Linked DNA regions of Callithrix jacchus. The protein of the gene in region 1 purifies or fractionates together with the protein of each later gene. This does not show direct contact. Links are inferred from orthologs where the notes say so. Each region holds a gene or a part of one and is shown in the gene's direction. Other genes may lie near its edges.

Region 1 (4,052 bases):
GGAGCAGAATGAGGCTTAGATTTTCCAAAGATGTTCATTTCACTTTGGATGACTATGGCAAGGAAGAGGGGTGGCCTGTCTACTGCTACTGTTAGTCATCACTCATGTGACTGCTTTTATGTATTCATTGGTTTAAATTCCCTGGATCTCCAGAAACATGTCCCTTTCCACTGGGGGAAATTTGTGTCATGATTAAAAACACACACATACACACACACACACACACACACACACCTCCTCCCTTCTCAGTGTTAATCACCTTCTCCTATAATTAGCACTTAAAATGTCAAAGGAGAAGAAATTAATTAACAGAAGTATCCAGTGCAGCAAGGCTCTGGGACTGATTATAAAGAGCACTTCCTTAAATATTTTGAGTACTTTTGGGACTCAGAAGCCTCCCTTCTAATTGAAAGATCCTTAACTACACCCTAAGTCCTGGCTGGTGGCCAGGGGTGCGGGCTGAGTGAGGTGGCGTGTGGAAATCCCTTCTTCACCATCCTTGGGAGAATTCCCTTCAAACTGGGATAGGTGGCAATAGAGGTTCAGAAACAGCAAGCGTCCCAGGCTGACTCTGCGGGGGAGGAAGAGATGAACCTTTCCTGAGCTGCTACTGAGTGCCAGGAACTTTAACTCGATATTTTGCCACAATCCCGTAAGACAACTGATACTATGGTCTCCATTTTACAGATGAGGACATTGAGGCTCAGCGTGGTTGTGACTTCCCTAGGTCACGCGGCCACTGAATGAAAGAGCCAAAGATTCAAACTGAGGTCTGATTCTAAAGCTTTGCTCTCTCGCGGCATCCTGGAATCCTATTCCCAATCTTCGTCTGGACTCCCAACCCAGTCCAAAGCTTAGCTTCTACAGTTTTGACAGCTGAGGCAGGCGCACGGGAGGCGGAGCTGGGAGCAGCGCAGCGCCCCGCCCCAGTTCCGGCATCAGCCAATGGTGACGCGGCACCCCCCACCCTTTGGCCCAATCAGCTCGAGCTCACCGCCTCCATCCCCACTCTTCTCCGCCCCGCCCCTCCGCTTTCCCTTTGGCTCCACCGAGCTTGACCGAGCGGAAAGTCCCTTCGGTCGGCGCCGGGCTGGCAGCCATTGGAGGAAGGTCTGTCACAAGGAGACCCAATCAGAGCCCGCTCAAGGGCGCAGTTCGGCCTGTGATTGGCTAGCGCGGCGGCTGCCCCCTCCGCCCCCGCGCCCTCCCTCTCCCCTGGGAGATTCGGAGGCGGGGCAGGTGGGGGCGGGCCCAGGTAGCAGGTTCGGCTGCGCGGGGGCCGAGCGTCGGAGGTAAATACTAGGGCGGTGGGTGTGGGGCCGGGGCTGGCCCGGGACCCGGGCTTGGGAGCCTGGGCGAGGGGCGACGCCCCGTCGCCGGAGGCGAGTGAGTGAGCGGGCGGCGGGCTGCGGGCGGCTGGCGGCCCGATCCCTTCTGCACCACCGCCCGGCCTCGGGGCTCCCGGAGCCGCCGCGGCGACCGTCGGGCCCTAGGCGCCGGCCCGTTAGTTGCCGGGGCCCGAGCCGGCCAGGCCCGCGGGGTGCCGAGCCCGCTGACGTCAGCCCGGGCTTCTCCACCCCCGGGACTTCCTCACCCCCCGAGGCTTCCCGGGAGGGCTCCGAGTCCGGGGAGCGTGCGTGGTTGCCGCCGTCGGGACCCCAGGAGGAGAGAGGACTTGAGGCGGGAGCCGCGCGGGACGCAGCCTCCCCTCCTCGCCCCCACCCCATTTACAGATGGGGAGACTGAGGCACAGGCCGCTGGCGGGTCCCGACGGCCACGGTTGGCCTTGGGAGCCTGGGGCTGTGATTCCTCCGGTCCACGCCGCGGGGCGTAAGCACCGATCGGTTTTGGGGGTGTTGGTGGCTCCCGTCCAGGAATCTCGGTCGGGGTTCTGGCCTCGTTAATGGCGTGTTCTGCTTTTTCTTTCAGTTTCGCCCTTTCCAGGGTGAGGATGGTTCTACACAGCCCCCCGGAGTTCTTTGTTGAAAGGTGCGCCTTGTTGTGACAGGTATTCTTTCTTTATGTTTTTCTTTTATGTTAACGATAAGTGGGGTGGGGAGGCGGGTGGGCTTGGGGAAGGAAGTCATAAAATCTTGAGGAAGATGTTGTTGAGTTTGGTTCTCAGCTGGGTCAGCTGCCGGGTTATTCATGTACTTGGCATAATTTTTCTTCCACTCCTTGGCATTTACATGTTTTAGGATAGTTGTCATCTTCCAGCCACCAAGCCTGTGGCCCTGCAATCTTCCAGCCCCCATCATCCCTACCACCGTCCTCTCCCCAGTTTTTCCTGGAAAGTTGTATCCTTAGCTCAGCTAAGGAGCATACCTACCTAGCCTTTGAATTCGGGCTAATTAGGGATCTTAATAATATTGTTCATTTTGCAATCATTGGCTCTCAGAGAGGCACCCAAGCCTTGAGAGGGTGTTCATTGTTGACTTTCTACACACCCCCTCATGCCCCAAGTAGATTGAATGGCCTTAAGAATTTAGCCTCCCATTCCCCACAGAGCAGTGGGTAGATTTGAACTAGATCAGTATTAGGAGAAATGATTTGCTGGAAATTCTTATTGAAGTTCATGTACTCTGAACGTCGAGAACACCCAGAACATTCTCTAATATTCTGCTGCAAAATTTTACAGTACTCTTGCAAATAAATCTTCCTTTGGATGGTAATTTTTGTGAGAAGCAGATAAGGCTTGTTATGTAAAACAACAACAAACATTAAGCATCAATGATTTTTGTAGTCTGGCCCACGTAAACTGTGGTTTTGTTTGATTTAAGGAAGTCTTCAACACAAGGAGAAAGGAGTAATTATGCTCTTTATCAAACTATAGTATTTTGTTCCTGATTTTCACACTATGATCTTAGTTTTTAAAAATTTTTTTACATTGGTTGTAGAGCATTTATAAGCATCATACACGCTAATGAAGGTCTAGTGTCAAATAAACCTCAAAACAACTTGGTTTCATAATTGTGAAATTTTCCATATTTGTTTCTTATGTGTATAAAAATGAAGTGGTTTACCATGACTTCATTTTATCCAGAAAATTAGTGAAGTTTTAGGCAAAAATCATTAAATACTCCCAATTCCTGAGTCTTTTTATTTTCTCTTTCTCTTTGTTTAATCCCTTAAACAGAAGGAGGAAATGCAATTTTGTTTTCACTGTTACCATTTGAGTCCTTCATTCATTTTTCTGTATTCAGTGCCTAGCATATGCCAGGCTCTAGTGTGGGCACTGGATAATATAAAAATGAAGGACTTGGGGAATTCACAGTTTGGCAGGAGAGTGGCTATGTTTAACGTTAGAGAGACAGCAATATTCCTGGTTCTGGTGGGAACATGCAGATGTGGGAGCCAGGCTTTTTTTTTTTCTTCTTTTTCTTTTAACTGTATAAATCCCACTTATATTAGGGACTGTGTACTTGTAGCACAAGTTAGTCATTGAGGAAAACTAAAACTGACTCAGTCTCTTTTCTGGCCATGGAATCTCTGTATCCCTATTCTTTAGCTGTTTAGGAATATAACAACTTTGTCTTTTAGTGAGAGGTGTTCTTTTTTAAAAGGGCAATCATTCTAGCTATCTAGAAGCTTTTGGAAAAAGGCCCACATGTCTTCTTTCCTTGGTGGTCACGCTGACCTTCCTACCTTTTTGCCATTTATAATTAGGGACAGAGTCAAGTATTGTGATTTTTATTCTAATTTGAGACGGAAAAGCTCTTGCATTGGATCTATCTTTGTGAGATCCTTGTGAACAATATAACCTGATAACTTGAGAATCATAAACACACTGTATCTTCTGGATAAGTTAACCATTGTCAGTTTTCTGTAGCTACTGATGTTCATTTGTACTATATGTTGCCTTTCAGAATGTGGTAATTGTAATCGTTAATGTTTTCATGTAAAACTTATTTCATGATCATTCCATTGCTTTCATGGAAAATTGATAAATATTTGTGCCTTCCAACCCACATCGTGGTTTAATGACTTTATCTTAATATGATTAAGTTCCCCTTTACTCAGAATCCAGACTCGCAGCAAGCTCAAATAAGCAG
Region 2 (4,358 bases), about 39 Mb from region 1:
GAAAATTGCTTGAACCTGAGAGGTGGAGGTTGCAGTGAGCTGATATTGCGCCACTGCACTCCAGCCTGGGCAACGAGTGAAATTGCATCTCAAAAAAAAAAAAAAAAAAAAGATGAGATTTTTGGGAGAGGACACAGACCCAAACCATATTCAGTCACCCACGCTAGAGTGCAGTGTCGGCTCACTGCAGGCCCCACCTTCCCCTCCAGGGTTCAAGTGATTCTCCTGCCATGCCATCAGATCTGGTGGAACTCACTGTCATGAGAACAGCAGGGAGGAAGCTGTCCCCATGATTTAATTATTTCCACCTGGTCCCACCCTTGACAGGTGGGGATTGTTACAATGCAAGTACCTGGGATTACAGACATGCGCCACCACGGCTGGCTAATTTTTGTATTTTTAGTAGATACGGGGCTTCACCATGTTGGCCAGGCTTGTCTCAAAACTCCCGACCTCAAGTGATCCGCCCTCCTCGGCTTTCCAGAGTGCTGGGATTACAGGTGTGAGCCACCATGCCCGGCCACGATTACAGTATTTTTAAGACTAATTTAAGAAAAAGCAGAGACGAGACGTCGCGGCCCAGGGAAAGTTTCAACAAACTTGGGCCTTGGTTTTGGTGGCCTGGAGAGGTGAGGGGCACAGACGGGAAGCAGAGCCTGCCCAAAGCGGGAGTATAGGTGGGGGGGTCGAGGCTGGGACCCCAAGGGTCTCCCTCATCCTCCTCTCCTAGGCAATGCGAGAAAATGTCTTTAGCACAGAACGGAGGAACCCGAGCGAACAAAACGCCCCCGGGAGGTCGTGGCCCAGATTTAGCCTGGAAGGATCCACAGCCCAGGTCAGCTTTTAGTGTAGAGAGGGGGCAGTTTCGCCCTGCCTCAGAGACCCGCCCAGACGCTGCTCTCAGGAGCGGCGGCTGACAAGTGCGGGAAGCCGGTAAGCGGAAGCGGCAGAAATAGGACCCGAGGTCCTGGCACCGACCTGAGGCGAGGCTGAAAAAGGCTTGTCCTTGCGCCCACCTTCCGCGACGGGCACCGCCCACAAGCAAATAGCCCCGCCCCGCGGGAGAGGCCCGCCCCCGAGCCCGGCCAATCCCCACAGGTAATGCAGGTGGCCCCGCCCCGCAGAAACGGCTCGTTCCAGGATCCAACCAATCACCGCAGGCAATGCAGGGGGCCCCGCCCCGGAGGGGGACGAGCCCGCGCACCTGCTTCCCTGTGCCGGGACGCCTGAGGCTGGGTCCCTGTCTCATAGGGAGAAGCGGCCCAGGCACAACCTTCACTGAGCGCCTCCCCTGAGCCCGCAGCCCTCGGCCCTGGGGCGTCGTGAAAGACACGGGTCCCGTGGGGAGACGGGCGACGGGCGACGCGGTGACAGGAGGCTCTCGGGGCGCCTCGCGCAGGTGATCGGCCTGGCGGGACACCGCCTCCTTCCGGCTTTCACCAGGCCCCGCCCCTCCTAAATTAGCTGAAGGCGGGGCCTAAGCCAAGCTCCGCCCCCGGCGTCAAGGCCGCGGACCCGGGCGGAGCCGACTCCCGGCGGAAGCGCACGGCGCACGCGGAGACCCGAACTGAGCGGTGGCTGCCGGCGACCGCTGTGGACGGACAGGTAGCGCCATCTCCCGCGAGTTCCGCAGCTCCATCTGCCAGGCGAGGGGGCTCTGGTCTGGAGAGGGCTCAGCGGGCGGAAGCGCGTCTGTAGGGAAGGGTGCGGTCGGTAACCGGGGCGCCCCTGGAAGGCCGAGGTTCCCCCGGCTGGGGAGGGGCTGGGGGTGCGGGGGCGCTCAGCTGGAGAGGGCCGGATCGCCGGGTGGGCGGGCAGATGGCGCCGGGGGCTCCAGATTAGGGGGTGCCAAGGATACTCGGGCGCTCAGCCGGTGGGGGCGGGGTCTCCAGGCTCGGGGGGTCCTGGGGACGCTGGGCGGGGGCTCGGAGAGAGCAGGGCGCGGCCTGAGGTCCCTGACCCCCCGCCCGCCGCAGGATGGGCAGCAGCTCGCTGTCCGAGGACTACCGCCTGTGCTTGGAGCGCGAGCTGCGACGGGGACGCGCGGGCGTGTGCGGGGACCCCTCGCTGCGCGCGGTGCTCTGGCAGATCCTGGTGGAAGACTTTGACCTGCACGGGGCGCTGCAGGACGACGCGCTGGCGCTGCTCACCGACGGGCTGTGGGGCCGCGCCGACCTGGCGCCCGCGCTGCGCGGCCTGGCCCGCGCCTTCGAGCTGCTGGAACTGGCCGCTGTGCACCTGTACCTGCTGCCCTGGAGGAAGGAGTTCACCACCATCAAGGTAGGCGCCGGCCCGCGGAAGCGCGTTCCTCGTCCTGGCCTGCGGGTCGAGGGAGACCACGCCTGTCGGAAGAGAGGGGCTTTCAGCGTCCTTAGTGCCCGGTGGGCGTCTCAGGGCTCAGAGCGCCGAGGGGTCGGGGGCGTGCTGGGGCACCCACTCTGAGGGCTGAGAACATGGGTGGGCGAGGGCAGGCTTGTCCTGCTCGAGAGCGTGTGTCAGTGTCTTCCCTAAGGCGGCCTCGCGGCCCCAGCTACCATGGGAATCTTGGGACAGGGGCACAGGAGGGACTTGAGGTCCCGCGGTCATCCTCATTCCTCCAGGATATGGGCCACTCCCATTTGCAGAGGCGGCCGCCGAGGCTGGGAGGACTGCAGATGGGCGGATCCCTGTAAAGGTGCAGGGCTGGGCACAGACCTAGTGAGCTCCTTGGCTTGGGGCCGGTGTGGCCCCTCCAGGTGAGATCCTGGCGGCAGGAGGGGGCAGGGCCGCCCGGAGCTCTGAGCTAATTCGGAAGAGTAGGAAGCGGATGACGCCACTGCACACGTGGGCGAGCTACGCCTCCACCGGTTGCCATGGCAGCGGCAATCTCTGCGCGGCTCCCCGGGGACACCTGCTGGTCCGCTGAACTCTCATTCACGAGAGGGAAGGACAGGTCTGCCTTTGAGGCCTCCCAGGCAGGGCGAGAGAATGGGCCGGGCCTCAGTGCCCAGCACCCCTGGGTTGGACCTAGTTCTGCTGCCTCCTGGCCGGGAGGCCTTGGCCGTTACCTCATCTCTCTCAGCCACTTTCCTCCTCTGAAACAGGGACACAAGACAGTCCAGTTCATGGACCCGAGGAATGAATGGAAGCCCTGAGCTCAGTGCGGCAGGCACGTGGGCCGTGCCCCTTTCATGGAGTTAGGGAATTTTACATTCAGGAGGCAGTGACTGTCCTGCTCCTTTAGTTCTTCGCCCAACTGTAGGCTAGAAAGCACTCACCATTGTTACGGCTGTCAGCCCAGGGCAAGGACAGCCTCTGGAGCTCTGGAAACACGTTGCCTCCAGGTGGTGGAATACTACACCGCAGGGCAGCAGGGGAAAATGAAGGGTGGAGCTTCCATCCTCATCTGCAAGACTGTAACGGGAAGAAAAGTTCAGAACAGCATGTTTAAGAGGCTGCCTATTCTAGTTTTGGGTAGAGACCTTGAAAAGGGGTGGGGCCCCTCATAAGAGGGGCAAACCAAAATCTATATTTGTGTTTGCAAAGTAACACCTGGGCAGGCACATCCAAAACTAATTAGACTAGCCATCTCCAGGGGTAAAGAGAGTGGCAGGGGACGAAGACAATGACATTTCTCAGTACAGGGGCTCTTTGTTTTGTTCTGATTCATGAGGCAGGTTAATGTATTAGTTGTTTTTTCCATTAAATCTAAGAAATCCTAGGCTGGGCACGGTGGCTCAGACCTGTAAACCCAGCACTTTGGGAGGCCGAGGCAGGCAGATCACTTGAGGTCAGGAGTTCGAGACCAGCCTGGCCAATAGGGTGAAACCCTGTCTCTTAGTACTAAAAGTATGAATATATAGCTGGGTGTGGTGGTGGGTGCCTGTAGTCCCAGCTACTTGGGAGGCTGCGGCAGGGGAATTGCTTGAATCTGGGAGCCACAGGCAACAGCGAGCTGAGATCGAGCCACTGCACTCCATCCTGGATGACAGAGCGATGGCGTCTCAAAGAAACAACAACAAAAAAGAAATTGTGATGTTCGGGCCTGGCCCAGACTGGCTAAGCCTAGTTTCTGGGGTTGGGCCCAAGCATCAGAAGCTGCCAACGCTTGAGCCGATGATCCTGGACCCGCTGTGCTCCGGGGTCCGCTGACCAGGTCGCTCTCTTGCAGACCTTCTCCGGGGGCTACGTGCACGTGCTGAAGGGTGTGCTGTCAGATGACCTCCTCCTCAAGAGCTTCCAGAAGATGGGCTACGTGCGCAGGGACAGCCACCGGCTCATGGTGACTGCTCTGCCCCCTGCCTGCCAGCTGGTGCAGGTGGCCCTGGGCTGCTTCGCCCTCCGGCTGGAATGTGAGATCCTGGGTGAGGTGCTGGCCC

What was found. The genes of interacting proteins can lie anywhere in the genome.
Region 2: the proteins of CYLD (region 1) and SPATA2L purify together in Homo sapiens (affinity purification with mass spectrometry; 3 studies listed by BioGRID and IntAct, with this or other methods). This does not show direct contact. The link is inferred for Callithrix jacchus from reciprocal best matches to the Homo sapiens genes CYLD and SPATA2L.

The regions. Positions count from the first base shown.
Region 1 is NC_133521.1:8,668,244-8,672,295, forward strand, and holds the start of CYLD (ubiquitin carboxyl-terminal hydrolase CYLD), read left to right. Parts: upstream 1-1,232; 5' UTR 1,233-1,386; exon of another isoform or gene 1,387-1,830; intron 1,831-1,929; 5' UTR 1,930-1,989; exon of another isoform or gene 1,990-2,008; intron 2,009-4,052. UniProt on the Homo sapiens protein: Deubiquitinase that specifically cleaves 'Lys-63'- and linear 'Met-1'-linked polyubiquitin chains and is involved in NF-kappa-B activation and TNF-alpha-induced necroptosis.
Region 2 is NC_133521.1:47,332,038-47,336,395, reverse strand, and holds the start of SPATA2L (spermatogenesis-associated protein 2-like protein), read left to right. Parts: upstream 1-1,517; 5' UTR 1,518-1,605; exon of another isoform or gene 1,606-1,976; 5' UTR 1,977-1,977; coding exon 1,978-2,280; exon of another isoform or gene 2,281-2,342; intron 2,343-2,694; exon of another isoform or gene 2,695-2,779; intron 2,780-4,150; coding exon 4,151-4,358.